Linked DNA regions of Diceros bicornis minor. Each later gene encodes a partner of the first gene's protein in a complex. Links are inferred from orthologs where the notes say so. Each region holds a gene or a part of one and is shown on either strand. Other genes may lie near its edges.

Region 1 (7,967 bases):
AGTTAAGCCAGCCCAGGGGAGGGTCAGATCCACGCAGCCACCAGCAGCGCAGTTACCACATTGGGATGCCAGACTGGGCTCCTGACTCCCAAGGTGTTGGGGGGCAGCAGGAGGAGTGTGCTCACGCCTGGCTGGAATCTGCCCTCCCAGGTGGCCATTCTCAGCCAATGAGCAGGACCCCAGACAAGCTTTGATCTTAGCACCATTTCTGCCGGGGCAGGGGCAGGGCAGGCGTCCTGGGGAGCCCAACGGACCCCATGCCATTGGGCCCAGACTCCTGCCCCTGCCTGCCCTCCCGCCCTCCAGGTTGCCCTCATCCACTTCTTCTTCAACCTGGGCGGCATCCTGCTGTGGTACGTGGTGCCCATCTTGCGGCTGCCCATCCCGCTGGCCAAGCGCTTCGGGGACCTGACCGCCCACTACCGCTGGGTGGCCATAGCCTACCTGCTGTTCACCTTCCTGCTGCTGCCACTGGCCACCTTTGGGCTCTCCCTGGCGGGTGGCACAGTGCTGGCCGCAGTCGGGGGGCCCCTAGTGGGGCTGGTGCTCCTCATCGTCCTGGTCAATGTCCTGCAGCGGCACCGGCCAGTCTGGCTGCCCCACTGCCTGCGGTCCTGGGCCTGGCTCCCCCTGTGGCTCCATTCTCTGGAGCCCTGGGACCACCTGGTGAGCCGCTGCTGCCCCTGCAGGGCCCGCAGCCCCCCTCGGGCCGCCAGCAAGGAGGCCCACTGCCATGAGAACCCCGAGGTGCTGGCCTCCCAGCAGTTGTGAGGGGTGGGCCCCCCAGGGCCCCCCACAACCCTCACCCCGCTGACCTCTGGGTGCCCTGGGGGATCCCAGTAGCAGCAAACTTCTGAGTCACCTGGATCATCTTCTTTGCAAATAAACGAGAGGCTGTGACCCGTGTGGGTGATCTTCACTTCCCGACAGGGCTGCCCGGGGACGGCCCCCGGCCGAGCTCCAAGGGGAGCTGGTGGTGGGGCAGCGCGAGGCTGCCCCCTGGCGGACACTCGGGGGCCATGGTGAGCCTGCGTGGGAGCTGGCTGCCCAGTGGGTGTGGGCACAGAGCTGACCCCCAGCCCCAGACTGTATTTCCGTTTCTCTCCACGGCCGTCAGGGACAGAAGTTGCCAAATAGCGGCCAGTCCAGAGCATGGAGACTTCTCGCAGCAAGAAGCCGGGGTCGGAGAAGGCTGGACGCTGCCGGGCCCTTCCCTGAGGGTGCAAGAGGCAAGGGTGGCCGGCTCCCACACACCACCGCCCCAAGGATGTGCACCAGGAGGCTGGGGGCCGCAGGGCTGCAGGGGGTGGGAGAGCCCACACTCAGGTTTCCGGGGCACCCCAGCCTGTGCCTTGTGGCCGCAGGGGCACCACCTGCAGGGCCCTGGCAGAGCAGGTGCTCAGCCCCCAACACGTCCCAGGAAGTGGGTCCTGCCCACGCCCCCTGGCGCCGCCGCACCTGGAGCCCATAGGCGAGCCCCCTCTCTGCCAGTGCAAAGGCCTCTGGGGCTGAGCGCTGGACCCACCCCAGGCTCCCACGCACCCTGGCCCCTGCCCCACCTGTGGCAGCGCAGCGGGTTTCTATACAGGAGGGCTGGTCTGCGGCCGGCCGGTAACCGAACACCAAGGAAACGGCCTGGGCCTCCGGCCCCCCCAGTCCGGTGCTGCCCACAACTCCAGCCCCACTCCCCATGCGACCGACAGAAAAAGCAATCTTTGGTGAACTGCTCCTCCCGAACGCCGCCCTGAGAGAGGCCACTGGCACAGACCGGCGGTGGACGGGCTGCCCCTGGTCAGGTGGCTGAGTTGCCCCGTTTTTTAGAGAGTCTGCTGCTATGGCCGGTCACCTCCTTCCGGGCCAGGAATGCTGCCCTGAAGGGGGCGCACCTTCCATCCCAGCGGCGCCCCCCGCCCCTCCGCCCCAGGCTTGCCTAGCCAGACCCAGGGGGGCAGAATGTGATGGTCCGATGAGGCCAGGGAGCCCCAGGGCCAGCTCTCGCCCATGGTCCTGTCCTTTTACTCACCCTCTGGTCCCCTCAGCAGTGCCCCCACCAGGCCCCCCATCCTCTCAGTCCCCAGTCCCCCCCATGTCTCCCACCCTTTCAGTTCTCTCAGCCCCCCATCCCCTCTCAGTCCCCCGCCCCATGTCCCCTATCCTTTCAGTTCTCTCAGCCCCCCATCCCCTCTCAGTCCCCCGCCCCATGTCCCCTATCCTCAGTCCCCTCAGCTCCCCGTGTCCCCCACCTTCTCAGTCTCCCCCCCCACCCGGGACTCCCAGCCCCTCTCAGCACCTCCCAGGTCCGCTTCCCCCAACAAGCTCCTGGGCCTCCTGAGCCTGGGGTTTCCCCTGTCCACTGAGGGACGTGGCCACCTGTCCTGGGAGCTATGAGAGGCCTGGTGAGAGCAAGACCCCTGAGGCAGGTTCATGCACCCCCTCTTGGGTTCCCCCCACTTCTGTGACCTCAGTACACTCCTGCGGATCTGACATCAGCTTCACGGTCCCTCTGATGGAAGTCTCTGAGGAGGAGCTGGGCCTGGCTAGTTCCCTGGGGACATGCCCTGCCACCCCACCCCCACCCGACAATAGGGATGCAGTGAGAGGGGAAGAAAGTACCCTGTGCACCTCTCCTGCCGGGGGCGGGTGAGGCCGCCCACAAAGGCTGACCACCAGGTCCTTTGAGGCCACGAACGACTGTCTGCCTGCTGCCACTGCCTGGCGGTAACACACCCTCCCGCTGGGACCATGGCCACCAGTAAACAGAGCCACTGTTGTGGACGCCTCCTTCCAACAGCTGCAGGCTGGGGTGGGAGGGCCAGGTGCCCAGCACTCCCACGGCCCCTGCCTGGGCTTCCCTGTGCGTCTGGCCTCCCCTGCTCTGCATCCTGCCAGCCACAGACACCCACTGGGCCCAGGCAGGAACACCCTTGGCTGAGGGTGGGGACCCACAGGGCCTCCTCCCACCAGCCCAGCGCAGGCCCGAGGGAGGCTCCTGCTGTCTTGTTCTCAGCTAGTGTCCACCTCAAAGGGGTAATGGGAGGGGTTACGGCAGACTACCTGTTGCCAGAGAGAGAGCTTGGGGGCTCACACCTGGGAAAACGACACCACCTCTATTTTGTTACCTGTAAAGTTACTGAACTCCCAACCCTGTGGGCACTCACAGGAAGCAGGGGCCTTTTCCAGTGGGGGTCTCAGGCCACATGGCTGGGGGTGGGGGCGTGAAGGGGGACTTTGACAAACCTCAAAGAACCCCAGCAGAGCTTTGCACCGCTCACTGGCTCACCGGAGAAAAATCAGAGCTGCTTTCTCCCTAACTTGTGGGTTTGTGACAACTCAATGCTAGGAGGTGGCAACAGCCTCCTGCTGCAGTGCCTCAGCCTTGCCAGCTGCTGCTTGGGCAGCTAAGCGACTTTCCAGGGCAGTGCGCGGACCCAGGACGCAGGCAGTGACTCTGTGCACCCTACCTGCGTGGCCTGTGGTCAACACAAGCGAGGTCTGCCTCCTTGGACCAGACTGTGGGGAGGGGGCTGGTCTCCTAGGCCCTGTCAGGACGGATGGCACTTTGCCATGCTGACTCACTCTCCAGGCCAGGACTGCAATCCCAGGAGCGCAACTGCAGACCACTCTCCAGGGGATGGGAAGGCTAGTTTCTCTGCCAGCCTGCCGCTGTCCCAACAATTTCACCCAGACTAACAGTTTCAGTTGTGTATACCATGATGTGCTGTAACACAGCAGTACGCCATAGTGCCTTGGCACTGGGTATTACGTGGTGCACAAGGGAGCGCGCACATTCCCTCTACAGAGAGAGAAATAAACAACCAGGTATCGCCCCCAACACCCTCGGGGTGGCGGCAAAGGTGGGCAAGAAGTTCACCGAGAAAACCAGAATCTGGAGAGGCCACAGTGGTTGCGGCAAGGGAGACCGTCTGGGCAGACGCAAGAATGCAATTATTCTTTTTAAAAATGTTACGAAAATATAGCACAAGTGTACTGTTTTTAAGGCGATTGACTAAAGGTGTGAACACATGTAATTTCACTGTTTTCCTGCATTAGTTTTTTTCCCCGCAAACAAAAATCAGGAAAAAGAAGCATTTGTCAGCTCAGGCACGTAGATTCGCGGTTGGGGTAACAGGGCCGGTGAGCCCGGAGGTCGGGGCCCGCCCGCGTCTCCACGCAGCTCTGTGCGCCCCCGGGGCCGAGGCACCACGGCGACGGGCGCGGGGCCAGCGCGTCTCCACAACAAGCGTGACCGCGGGCAGGCCCCCTCCCTCCTCGCCCGCCCCGCTCTCCGCGCCGGGCCGGGGCGCCGCGCCACGTGCTCCCTCACCTGACCGCGCCGGGAGCGGCGCGGGGACCGGGGGGACGCAGGCGACCACGGCCCCATCCCCCCCCGGGCCCAGAGCCCTGTCTATCTCTGCGGGCTCCGAGACCCCGCGGGCGGCGAGGCCAGACCACGCGCGCGCTCGTTCCGCGGCGGCCGCCCTCGAGAGCCGCACGGGGGCGGTCCCCGGGCATCGCTCGCCCACCGCGGGCTGCGGGCACGCCTGGCGCTCCCGAGGCTCCGGCCCGGGACTGCGCCCGCCCGCCCCCGCTGCCGCCCCCGCGGCACTGCAGCGGTTACCAGGACGCTGGCCCCACGCAGCCAATCGCGCCAGCCTGTCGGCGTGCTTTCCGGAGCCAGCCAATGAGAGGACAAATCAATCATTTGAAACATCCAATGGACAGACCACCGCAGCGCGAGGAGGGGAATTTTGATAGGGAGAGCAGAGACCGCGGCAGACCAATAAAGGACGAACGGCGTTGGGAAGGCGGGCGTTAGGCGGCTCGATTGACGACGCTATAGCCAATCAAAAGAGGCCGCTTGCCAGCCTCGTTCTGGCGGGCCAATACGAGGCCGGCGGAGGCGGTCGCGGCGGGCATATAAGCGCTGGCCGAGCGTCGGTTGTAGCACTCTGCGCGCCCGCTCCTTGTGTCTTGTGTCCGTCTTTCCGCCTGCGCCGCCGCCGCCGCCGCCATGAGGGAGATCGTGCACCTGCAGGCAGGCCAGTGCGGCAACCAGATCGGCGCCAAGGTGGGCGGCGGGGCGCCGGGGGCCGGCGCGGGGTTGCCGGGCGGGGCGGGCCGACGGGAAAGATGGCGGCAGCGGGCTGGCGGGTGGCGCCCCTGCATTGCGGCCCCGCGCGGGGTCGGGACCGGGGCGGCGATGGCAGTCGGGGCCGGGGTGGGGACCGGGGCAAGGCGGGGGTCGAGGCCGGGGCGGCGGCACGGGCTCCCGGGGACGGACCCTGCGGCGGGGGAGGGCCGGGCCGCGCCCGTCCGGGGTGGGGCCGGGTCCGGACACCGCCAGCGTGACTCAGCCCCGGCCCGGCCGCTCGCATATCGCAGTTCTGGGAGGTGATCAGCGACGAGCATGGCATCGACCCTACCGGCACCTACCACGGGGACAGCGATCTGCAGCTGGAGCGGATCAACGTGTACTACAACGAGGCCACCGGTGAGACCCCCGCGCCCTTTCCTCACCACTCCTGCCGCCCGCGGCCTTTCCCTTGCTGACGCCCTCCCCCCCGCCCTCCAGGTGGCAAGTACGTGCCCCGCGCCGTGCTCGTGGACCTGGAACCGGGCACCATGGACTCGGTGCGCTCCGGGCCCTTCGGGCAGATCTTCAGGCCGGACAACTTCGTCTTCGGTGAGCCGCGGATAGGGGCTGGGCGGCGGCCTGTTAGCGAGGATGGCTCAAAGGTCAAGAGGTGTCCAAGGTCACCACCGTCAGAACCGCAGAGTCGAGATTCTGATCCACCCTGTCCCCCGAGCAGCAGCTAGGGCTCCTGGACACTCTCCTCCCCCCTCGAGTCACTCAGTCTTCTCTGGTAAAGCGGCTTTGGGAGGAAGGCCCAGCTGTCCGCCCGCAGGGAAGGAGCCGGCAGATGTAATCTCCCTGCAGCGATGGCTGAGCTAGGGGCGGTGGCAGCTCTGACAGCTCATCTGTCCTTGGGAATTGGCAGGAGCTGCCCATGGGAGGGGCTAGCTTATTGTTAAGCCATCTCGGGCCGACTGTTAAGTTTTAGTGAGGCTGGCTGCTGCTGTATCAGTTTGGGGGTCCTTCTGCTCTACCTGCAGGATGAGTTCTGTGTGTCATCTCACTCCAGGTTAATTGGCTATTTTGGCATTGGTGACCACACGCCTGCTCTCTGTTGCAGGTCAGAGTGGTGCCGGGAACAACTGGGCCAAGGGACACTACACAGAAGGCGCAGAGCTGGTCGACTCGGTGCTGGATGTCGTGAGGAAGGAGGCTGAGAGCTGTGACTGCCTGCAGGGCTTCCAGCTGACCCACTCCCTGGGTGGGGGGACTGGGTCTGGGATGGGTACCCTCCTGATCAGCAAGATCCGAGAGGAGTACCCAGACAGGATCATGAACACGTTTAGTGTGGTGCCGTCGCCCAAGGTGTCGGACACTGTAGTGGAGCCCTACAACGCCACCCTCTCCGTCCACCAGCTCGTAGAAAACACAGACGAGACCTATTGCATTGATAACGAAGCCCTCTATGACATCTGCTTCAGAACCCTAAAGCTGACCACCCCCACATACGGTGACCTGAATCACCTGGTGTCGGCCACCATGAGTGGGGTCACCACCTGCCTGCGCTTCCCTGGTCAGCTCAATGCTGACCTGCGCAAGCTGGCTGTCAACATGGTCCCCTTCCCCCGCCTGCACTTCTTCATGCCTGGTTTTGCCCCCCTGACCAGCCGGGGGAGCCAGCAGTACCGGGCCCTGACGGTGCCCGAGCTCACCCAGCAGATGTTTGATGCCAAGAACATGATGGCTGCCTGCGACCCCCGCCACGGCCGCTACCTGACCGTGGCTGCCGTGTTCAGGGGTCGCATGTCCATGAAGGAGGTGGATGAGCAGATGCTTAACGTGCAAAACAAGAACAGCAGCTATTTTGTTGAGTGGATCCCCAACAATGTGAAAACAGCTGTCTGCGACATCCCGCCCCGGGGCCTAAAAATGTCTGCCACCTTCATTGGCAACAGCACGGCCATCCAGGAGCTGTTCAAGCGCATCTCGGAACAGTTCACGGCCATGTTCCGGCGCAAGGCCTTCCTGCACTGGTACACGGGCGAGGGTATGGACGAGATGGAGTTCACCGAGGCCGAGAGCAACATGAACGACCTGGTGTCTGAGTACCAGCAGTACCAGGACGCCACGGCCGAGGAGGAGGGCGAGTTTGAGGAGGAGGCGGAGGAGGAGGTGGCCTAGAGCTGTCTGGTACCCAGTAGAGCGCAGAAGCCTTGTGAACTCTTTATTCGCTCACAACCTGTTTCCTGATAGCCATGTCTTGTTTGTCCACTTACTTTCCTTCCTGTCTTGATGTCGTGTGCTGTACAGACACCACCATTAAAGCGTTTTCATAGTGTCTGCTTTCGCCTCTCCAGTTCCTTCTGATAGGCTTTACGCGTACCGTTTCCAAAGGTCAGGGCAAAGTTGTCCTGCATGGCTGCAAGGGCAGTGCTGCCACTGGGCTCTGGGCTTGCCACGCGCCCAGGGTGAGCCTGCAGGTGGCCACTGGGGGGGTCACGGGCTGTGAACATGCACGCCTCTGAGGAGCTTGGGGCTGCCCTGAGCACCTGCTTCCTGCCCACTGAACCTCCAGAGAGCCAGCATGGTCTGGAGACAGCTGGCCTCTGTGTCTGCAACTTGTAGTAGGAGAGGTCAGTGAGGCCCGTCCACAGCTGGGAATGGTAGAGGGTGGGCAGTCCTACCACAAGAGCCCCTGGGGATAATGTGGTCACACACCTGGCCCTGTGCCAGTGGTGCAGCACTGGTAAGGGGTCTCAGCTGCCCCACCCCTCCCCACAGCGGCCTGGTCACTGTGACTGTGTCTGAACGAGGTGGGCAGGGACCCCAGTGTGTACTCACATGGTACGAAGCCCATATAGAAAGGTATCAGGCCTCGGCTGCTGTAGATGGT
Region 2 (7,720 bases), on another chromosome or scaffold:
TCAAGAATTCTCCCATGGAAGGATAAGTTGGGTCACAGAACAGGGTAGATGACACAGGTCCCCCTGGCAACTTCAAGAAAATGTCCGTGCAATGACAAGGTACTCTGTAAAGCACACACAGTCCCCAAGCCAGCGGAACCTCCCCCCTAGGTGTTGTTCTGGCTCCAAGAGACCCAAAGCTTAGCTAAAGCTGTTCATGTGCATATCAGATGAGGTTTTCTCTTTTGTCTTGTTCTATGTCTTGAGAGCTTGGCTTTGTGACCTTTCTGGTCTCTGCCATCTGGAGGTTGCATGTACTGGCATGCATCTTGGCAGCCAGTCATGTAGACTGGGGATCCAGGACACACTCTCTTTGTCCAGCTGTGTCAGCTCTCAGGGGAGTTCGTCATAAGGGATCTCAATTGCTTTCATAAGGAGCCTTTGTTGTCTCAACTTTCATTGCTTGTTGTGAAACGAAGCCATTTTCTTTCTTAGACTATTTTTGGGAGTGAACTTTCTGGATCTTGTGAGGGCTGCTTTTGCACTCTCTTTTGGGGATGCCTGTTGTGTCCATGGTTAAGCTGTAAAAGTCTTATTGGTATGAGTCGCTGCTAAGATCCTACTCATCAATGTGGCCAGACAATGGATCGCTGAAATTGGGAAAACTTCTAAATTAGAAAAAAAAAAAATTTTTGAGAGCTCTTGTCATAATTGTTTTATTGGTACCTGTGAAAGGCCAAATTGTGTATACAGATAGAAAAAGAGTTTGGTGTTATCCAGCAAAGTTGAAGAAACACATACCCTATGACCCAGCAATTTCACTCCTAGGTATATATCCTAGAGCAGAGGTTTCTGAAGTGTGATCCACAGACCCCTGGAGATCCCCCAGTCCCTTTCAGGGGGCCTGCAAGGTCAAAACTATTTTCTTAACAATACTGAGATATTATTTGCCCTCTTTCACAGTGTTGAAATTTGCACTGATGATGCAAAAGCAATGGTGGGTAAACCTGCTGGTTGCTGTGCGTGAATCAAGGCAGTGCCACTAAATGTACTAGTAGCTGTGGTATTCTGCACTGCCACACACTCGCAGTAACAATAATGCTAGTTTCACTTAAAAGTGTCCTTGATGAAGAAGTGAAAATTATTAATTTTATTAAATCTTGACCTTTGAGCAGATGTCTTTTTGACATGGTGTGTGATGAAATGGGAAGGGAGTGTGGTAAAGCTCTGCTGTTGGATACCCAAGGGTGATGGTTCTCTTGAGAAAGAGCACTGTGTGCCATTGTTTGAGTTGTGAGCAGAATTAGCTAAGCTTTTTAAAAAATGAAACACCATTTTTACTTGAAAGAACAAGTGGCAGACAAACCACGATTATTCAAATTAGAATATTTAGAAGACGTTTTCTTGAAAATGAATGAAGTCTGTCACTTCAAGGAAAACAACGGACAGTGGTTGTGCCAATGACAAAATTTTGAGCTTTCAAGCTAAAATTAGAATTTTGGAAAACTCATATCTGCCTCTGTGAGCTCCACTTCCTAACACTTAAATGCTTCTCTGATGAGATCAGTAGTGATATTAGCAAATGTGATTTTTTTGATATTGTGTAATGAAATATGTGTACATTTGGAAGACGTGAACAACTCAGTATATTAATATTTTCCAAATGACCACTATGATGTTACAGAACCATGAATGGGCGACAGAGCTATTGAAAGAACAAGATCAATCTGTAGATTTTTTTTTTTTTTTTTTTTTTGTGAGGAGGACCAGCCTTGAGCTAACATCCAATGCCAATCCTCCTCTTTTTTGCTGAGGAAGACTGGCCCTGGGCTGACATCCGTGCCCATCTTCCTCTACTTCATATGGGACGCCGCCACAGCATGGCCTGACAAGCGGTGCGTTGGTGCGCGCCCGGGATCCGAACCGGCGAACCCCGGGCCGCCGCAGCGGAGCGCGCGCACCCAACCGCTTGCGCCACCGGGCCGGCCCCAATCTGTAGATTTTAATGTAGCAGAGCTCAAAGAGTTCACTGAATAGTTTCAGAGTCCACATTGCAACTAACCTTTAAGAAACTACCATTTGTTGAGTTTTGGTGTAGTATCAAAGAATATCCACAATTAGCTGCAAAGACTATTAAAATACTTCTCTGTCTTCTAATTACACATCTTTGTGAGACTGGATTTTCTCCTTTAAACAGAACAACATATCACAACAGGTTGAATGAAGAAGCAGATATGAGCATCCAGCTATCTTTTATTAGGCCTGACATTAAAGAGATTTGCAAAAACAAAACTCTTCTCACTAAGTTTTTTGTTTTGGAAATAGAGTTAATGTCCATAAAAATTTAATTATGTTAACATGCAATGAGTTTGCTATTTTAAAATTAATAAATATTAATTAATATATTAACAAATTTAAATTTATATTTAATTAATTAAAATTTGTTTGGAAAATAGAATTACGTGTGATAAAAATTTAATTACATTAACAGGCAATGAGCTTGTTGTTATTATGAAATTAATAAATATATTAATATCAATAATTACTAATAAATATTCAAAAATTTTCCACTTTTAATTTCTAATATGATAAATATTGATGGATATAACCAGTGGTATGCTGATAAACTGACTCTCTTAAAAAAAAAAAAAAACGCTGATACATAGCATTTGCCAATTCTGTGGCATAAATATTCCCACCATGGCTGATTTCAAGCTACCGTGACTTTACAGAGTGTGAGGTTGGGAAGAGATCAAAGCAAAATTGGCTCTCCTCATGAGTTGGTATGACTCCAGTTGGCTCCAGCACCACTAATATAATCCACATTCAAAAGCTCTTTGGGGCCTCAATAATTTTTAAGAGATTAGAAAGCTTGAGAACCACTGCCCTAGAGACATGGCTATCTGGGCACCAGGAGACATAAACCATGCACAAAAAATCCTAGCAACTATGGCTATACATAACGCGAGTGAATCTTAAAAACATTAACTATTTTGAGGAGAAGAAACCAGACTCAGATGAATACATACTACAGGATTCCATTTATACCACTAACAAGCAAAACTAAGCAGTCGTGTTTAGGAACGCACATCCTTTTGTGCAGAGCATTTACAGAAGAGCAAGAAAGTGATGGCTCCGGAAGTCAGGTTGAGTGGGAGGACACAAGTGGGGCACTCCGGGGGGGCTGGCAATGTTCTGCTTCTTGACCTACATGCTGGTTTTGGGGGCTTTTGCTTTACCATAATTCATTTATCAGGACAATTATTTTTAATGTACTTTTTCACGTTTGTGTTGTATTTTATAAAAAAAGGTTTTTAAAAAGTGAAATTATACAGAACACGTGGATCCCCTGCTCTTTGATTGGAAAGCCACCCCCTCTTCCTGGCGCTAGCCCTGCCTAGACTCTGTCCCTGCCAAATAGACGCTTGCTCTGCTCTGTGGTACATCTATGTCCTTTTCCTGCCACGTGCTTAGTTTCAAGATGGAGCCAATAATTTTCTTAGAGTTGGTCTATTTTTATTTGTAGGTAATTGGAAAACACTTCCTCTGAATTGCCTACTTGAAATAGAATGTCTTCATTTGTGGCGAGCAAGACTACGTGATTCTGCTTCTTAACCATATATCACAGGCACCTTCCTATGTCAGCACTTTTTAACAGCTACGGAGTATTTCATTATATGGCTGTACCACAATTTATTGAACCAGCCCTCTGTTGATAGATATTTAGGTAGCTCCTGATTTTTTTGCTCGATGAGTAAACAAGATAACGGCCTTTATCCCATTGGACTGAGCTCTGTGGGGATGGAGCCCCTGTCTACTCAGCCATGCACTGCAGCCTCAGCTCAGTGCTCCAGATGTAGCATGTGCTCAATAAAATGATTGTGAAGTGAATGAACGAAGACTAACCAAATGAACTGTTTTGTATCAGTTCGAGCACGAAGATAGGATTCTCAGTGGAAGTCCCGTAGGCAAAGGAGCAGACAGGTAGTGAGTGGAACCCAGTGGTCTAGGCCTGAATCAGAGTGGATTTAAATCCCAGCTCTCCCACATGTGTGACTTTAAGCAGCTACTTAATCTCTCTTTGCTTCAGTGTCCTCACCTGTAAAATGGGTATAATAATGGCACCTGCTTCACAGGGCTGCTGTGAGGATTAAATGAGTAAGTACACGCAAATGTCTCTCTATGGGCTTAGCACATCAGTACTCATTAAGCAGCAGTAGAACGCAATCATCTCAACTCACACTAGTTGTAAAAATGCAGCATGGATGATGCCTTTCAAGGGGTGACAACACGGAAACCACGTCCTTCTGGCCACTGCTTCTGTGGTGGTGGTTGTTGGTTTGATTGGCTTTTGTGGGGTCAATTTTGCTCCTGAAGAATCAGCTGCTCCCATAAGGAGAATATGTATACGCAGAGGCCATCACCATGGAGACAGTCAACAGTAGGGAATCCAAGATCACGTCACCTCTCCCTGGATGCTGAAAGTGGACTCTCAGGACCTTTTTACTCTGTGAGGTTGGCAGGGTGTCATCTTACTACTCACTCAGAAGGGTGGCTGGGAAGAAAAAAAAAGGCATCCCAAACTTAATAGCTTCATAACATCTCCTCAGCCCTGAAATCTTAGACTGTGTCAAGTCAAAGACACTCAGGGCAAATCCTTACCATGCAGTTTTTGACTGCAGTAATTCCACAGTCATTTGCTACTCCAAGCTGGAAGATCGAGACCAAGTATTCAACCAGAGTGCTCATTGGAAACTGGGTGGAAGAGAGGGGAAAGGTAAGGGAAGAGAGAAGATGGGCAGAGGGGCTCAGAGGGAGGACTGGCAGGGAGAGGTACGAGCGGGTCATTACTATTTCTAAATCAAGAGCCATAGATGATTCTATTTTCGGAACGTGGCATTAGGGTCTCTGTGCTCTACATAGGGGAGTTGCATTCAAGCAAGCATCAAGGTCTCCACTATATCCTGAAAACACAATAGCAGAAGTGTCAATATAGTCGTGCCTTGCAGTACTGTTTTCAGTGGGGTGTTTCTAGGCATTTGATGTTCCCTGTCTGTAATCCCTCTACACCTTGATTTGAAGAATGTCTGCTCTCCCTGGCCTGGCCTTCCCCAGAATGTGGCACCTGCTAAGGCAGGCTTGATACTCCCTGCACTGATGTCCATGGATGAAGTGCTGCTCTCTGGCACCTGTTCCACAACCTTGCCCCGTCTGTGCATTTCAAGTTTTTACTTTCAAAACAGAACCAATGGGCTCTTGGTGTTCTCATGTACTTTGAAGGCCATCGCAAAATATTTGCCTGAATTGGCCTACTTGTAATTGAATATCTTCATTTGTGGTGATCAGGACTGAGCCACTTAAATTTCTGCAGAGACACCTAGACATCCTCATGCCTTCTTGGGAAATGGGCAGGGAAAAGAGGGTGAGATAGAATCGGCAGCTTTGATGTACGTGTAGGGAAAGGTGGTGGTAACTTCTGAGAACTGGAAAAGGTGATTTTCATGGAGGACATTAGAATTTACCACTCCTCTGGCCAGATATGCCTTGTGTTAGCCCTAACTACACTTGGCCTTGTTTGGGGAGCAGCTGTGTGTCAGGGAAGTTCCAAGGATAAGAAAGACTAGCTGAGCAATCCCTTCAGGCTCCTGTGGGTGAGGCAGTACTCAGGAATATTATGGGCTGGTTCTACACCCAGAGGAGATTGCATAAAGAGAGCAAAGTTGGAGTGATGTCAGAAAGATGGCAGACTCAGAAGCTCCAGGTTCTCGTTGTCCCAGAAACACTTAAACAACAACTAGCTAAAATAACTATACAGGAGCTCTGGAAAACAGTCAATGGTCTACAGTAACCAATTTAGAAAAAGCCACATTCAAAGTGGTAGGAAATTCCACGTTGTTTTTACTTGCCCTTTCCCGTTCCCTCCCCAGCACAGCATGATGCAGTGTGGGGGAAGCACTGGCCCAGCTCTCAGTTCCCTTCCTTGAACCTAGAGGGAGTGGAGCAACATTCTAACTTGTCTGGGGTCTGCCTGAGGGATTGGTCTCTATTTTGCTTAACTCAGAGCTCATACAGGGAAAAGTGGCATAGTTCATATTTCAGGCTAGGAAAAGCTGTGGAGAGCAGTGGTGATCACAGCTAGTGAAAGCTGCCAGGGGACTACAGGCCTGAAAATGTCTAGGGAAAGAGATTACAGGTAGAGGAATATAACAGTATACCTAAGGCCCTAAGAGGAAGCAAAGGAGAGACTCTTTGGGAAATGAAGGCATTTTAAAGCAGCTATGTATGCAGGGGAAATAAAAAAGCACCCCCACACACACACCCACACACACACACAAGCCAAGGCAAGACGCATGCTCAGAAAATTCCTGAGAAGAACGTAAGCCTTCACACCAGGCTAATTCCATGGCTCAAAACATGCCTTGCTAGTTAGTGGAGATCTTCCCTCGAATGGAGCCCGTCTGCAAAGACTAGGAGAGGTGGCTGTTTTTTCAAATGCCCAATTTTCAACAACAAAAAGTCATAAACCATACAAAGAAACAGGAAAACACAGCCCATTCAGAGGAAGAAAACACAGTGGCAAGCACTATCCCTAAGAAACATAGGCATCAGAAGTACTAGACAAAAACTTTAAAACAACTGTCTTAATATGCTTAAAGAGCTAAAAGAAAATATGGACAAAGAACTAAAGGAAATCAGGAAAATGAAATATGAAAAAAATGAGAATATCAATTAAAAAATATAAATTATAAAAAGGAACCAAAAAAATTATGGAACTGAAAAATACAATAACTAAATTGAAAAGATTTCACTAGAGGCATTCAACAGTGGACTTGAACAGGCAGAAAAAAGAATCAGAGAACTCAAAGACAGATTATTTGAAATTATCAAGTCTGAGTAGCAAAAAGAAAAAAGGAGAAAATTGAACAGAGTCTAAGGACTAATGGGACACCATCAAGCAGACCAATATACACATTATGGGAGAAAAGAGAGAGACAAAGGGGCGGAGAGATTATTTGAAGAAATAATAATCGAAAACTTCCCAAATTTAAAGAAAAGACATGGATGTACAAATTTGAGAAGCTTAATGAATTCCAAGTAGGATAAATTCAAAGAGACCCACATAGAGACACATTATAATCAAACTGTTGAAAGTCAAAGACAAAGAGGGAATCTTGAAAGCAGCAAGAGAAAAATGACTCATCACATACAAAGGAGCCCTTATAAGATTATCAGTAGATTTCTCAGCAGAAACTTTGTAGGCCAGAAGGCAGTACAATGATATGTTTAAAGTGCTCAAAACAAAAAAAACTATCAACTGAGAATACTATAGCCAGCAAAACTGTCTTTTAAAAATGAAGGAGACATTAAAACATCCCCAGATAAACAAAAGTTGAGGAAGTTCACTACCACTAGACCTGCCCTACAAGAAATGCTAAGGGGAGTCCTTGGAGTTGAAATGGAGCAACACTAGACAGTAACTCGAAGCCATATGAAAATATAAAGACCTCTGGTAAGTGTAAATACATGGACAAATATAAAAACCACTACCATTGTAATTTTGATTTATAACTCCACTATTTTCTACCAGATTTAAAAAACAAATGCATAAAAATAATTATAAATCCATGTTAATGGGTACGCAATATGTCAAGATGTAATTTGTGACATCAATAACATAAAGCAGGAGAGCTCAGAGCTGTAAAGGAGTAGAGTTTTCATATATGAGTTAAGTCAAGTTGGT

The links. Proteins that work in one complex are often made in the same cells at the same time.
Region 2: the proteins of TUBB4B (region 1) and CFAP107 are in contact, whole or in part, in a cryo-EM structure (PDB 9CPB), measured with the Bos taurus proteins. The link is inferred for Diceros bicornis minor from reciprocal best matches to the Homo sapiens genes TUBB4B and CFAP107. Residues at the interface, in NP_001029835.1 of Bos taurus: Lys19, Glu22, Asp26, Tyr36, Asp39, Ser40, Asp41, Leu42, Gln43, Leu44, Glu45, Glu53, Gly56, Gly57, Tyr59, Pro80, Leu215, Leu217, Thr219, Thr221, Tyr222, Gly223, Asp224, His227, Leu228, Ala231, Gly244, Gln245, Phe270, Pro272; in NP_001033296.1 of Bos taurus: Thr74, Val75, Glu76, Gly77, Leu78, Tyr80, Lys81, Leu83, Ile84, Thr85, His86, His87, Gln88, Glu89, Gln92, Arg93, Tyr94, Leu95, Ile96, Ser97, Thr98, Asp101, His102, Pro133, Pro138, Thr139, Asn140, Tyr141, Leu143, Tyr144.

What each region holds. Positions count from the first base shown.
Region 1 is NC_080767.1:43,763,715-43,771,681, forward strand, and holds TUBB4B (tubulin beta-4B chain), read left to right. Parts: upstream 1-4,957; 5' UTR 4,958-5,011; coding exon 5,012-5,068; intron 5,069-5,382; coding exon 5,383-5,491; intron 5,492-5,572; coding exon 5,573-5,683; intron 5,684-6,194; coding exon 6,195-7,255; 3' UTR 7,256-7,404; downstream 7,405-7,967. Other genes in the region: SLC34A3 (sodium-dependent phosphate transport protein 2C), read left to right, coding at 307-771; CIMIP2A (protein FAM166A), read right to left, coding at 7,405-7,493, 7,916-7,967. UniProt on the Homo sapiens protein: Tubulin is the major constituent of microtubules, a cylinder consisting of laterally associated linear protofilaments composed of alpha- and beta-tubulin heterodimers.
Region 2 is NC_080752.1:31,704,643-31,712,362, forward strand, and holds the start of CFAP107 (cilia- and flagella-associated protein 107), read left to right. Parts: upstream 1-4,642; coding exon 4,643-4,756; intron 4,757-7,720. UniProt on the Homo sapiens protein: Microtubule inner protein (MIP) part of the dynein-decorated doublet microtubules (DMTs) in cilia axoneme, which is required for motile cilia beating.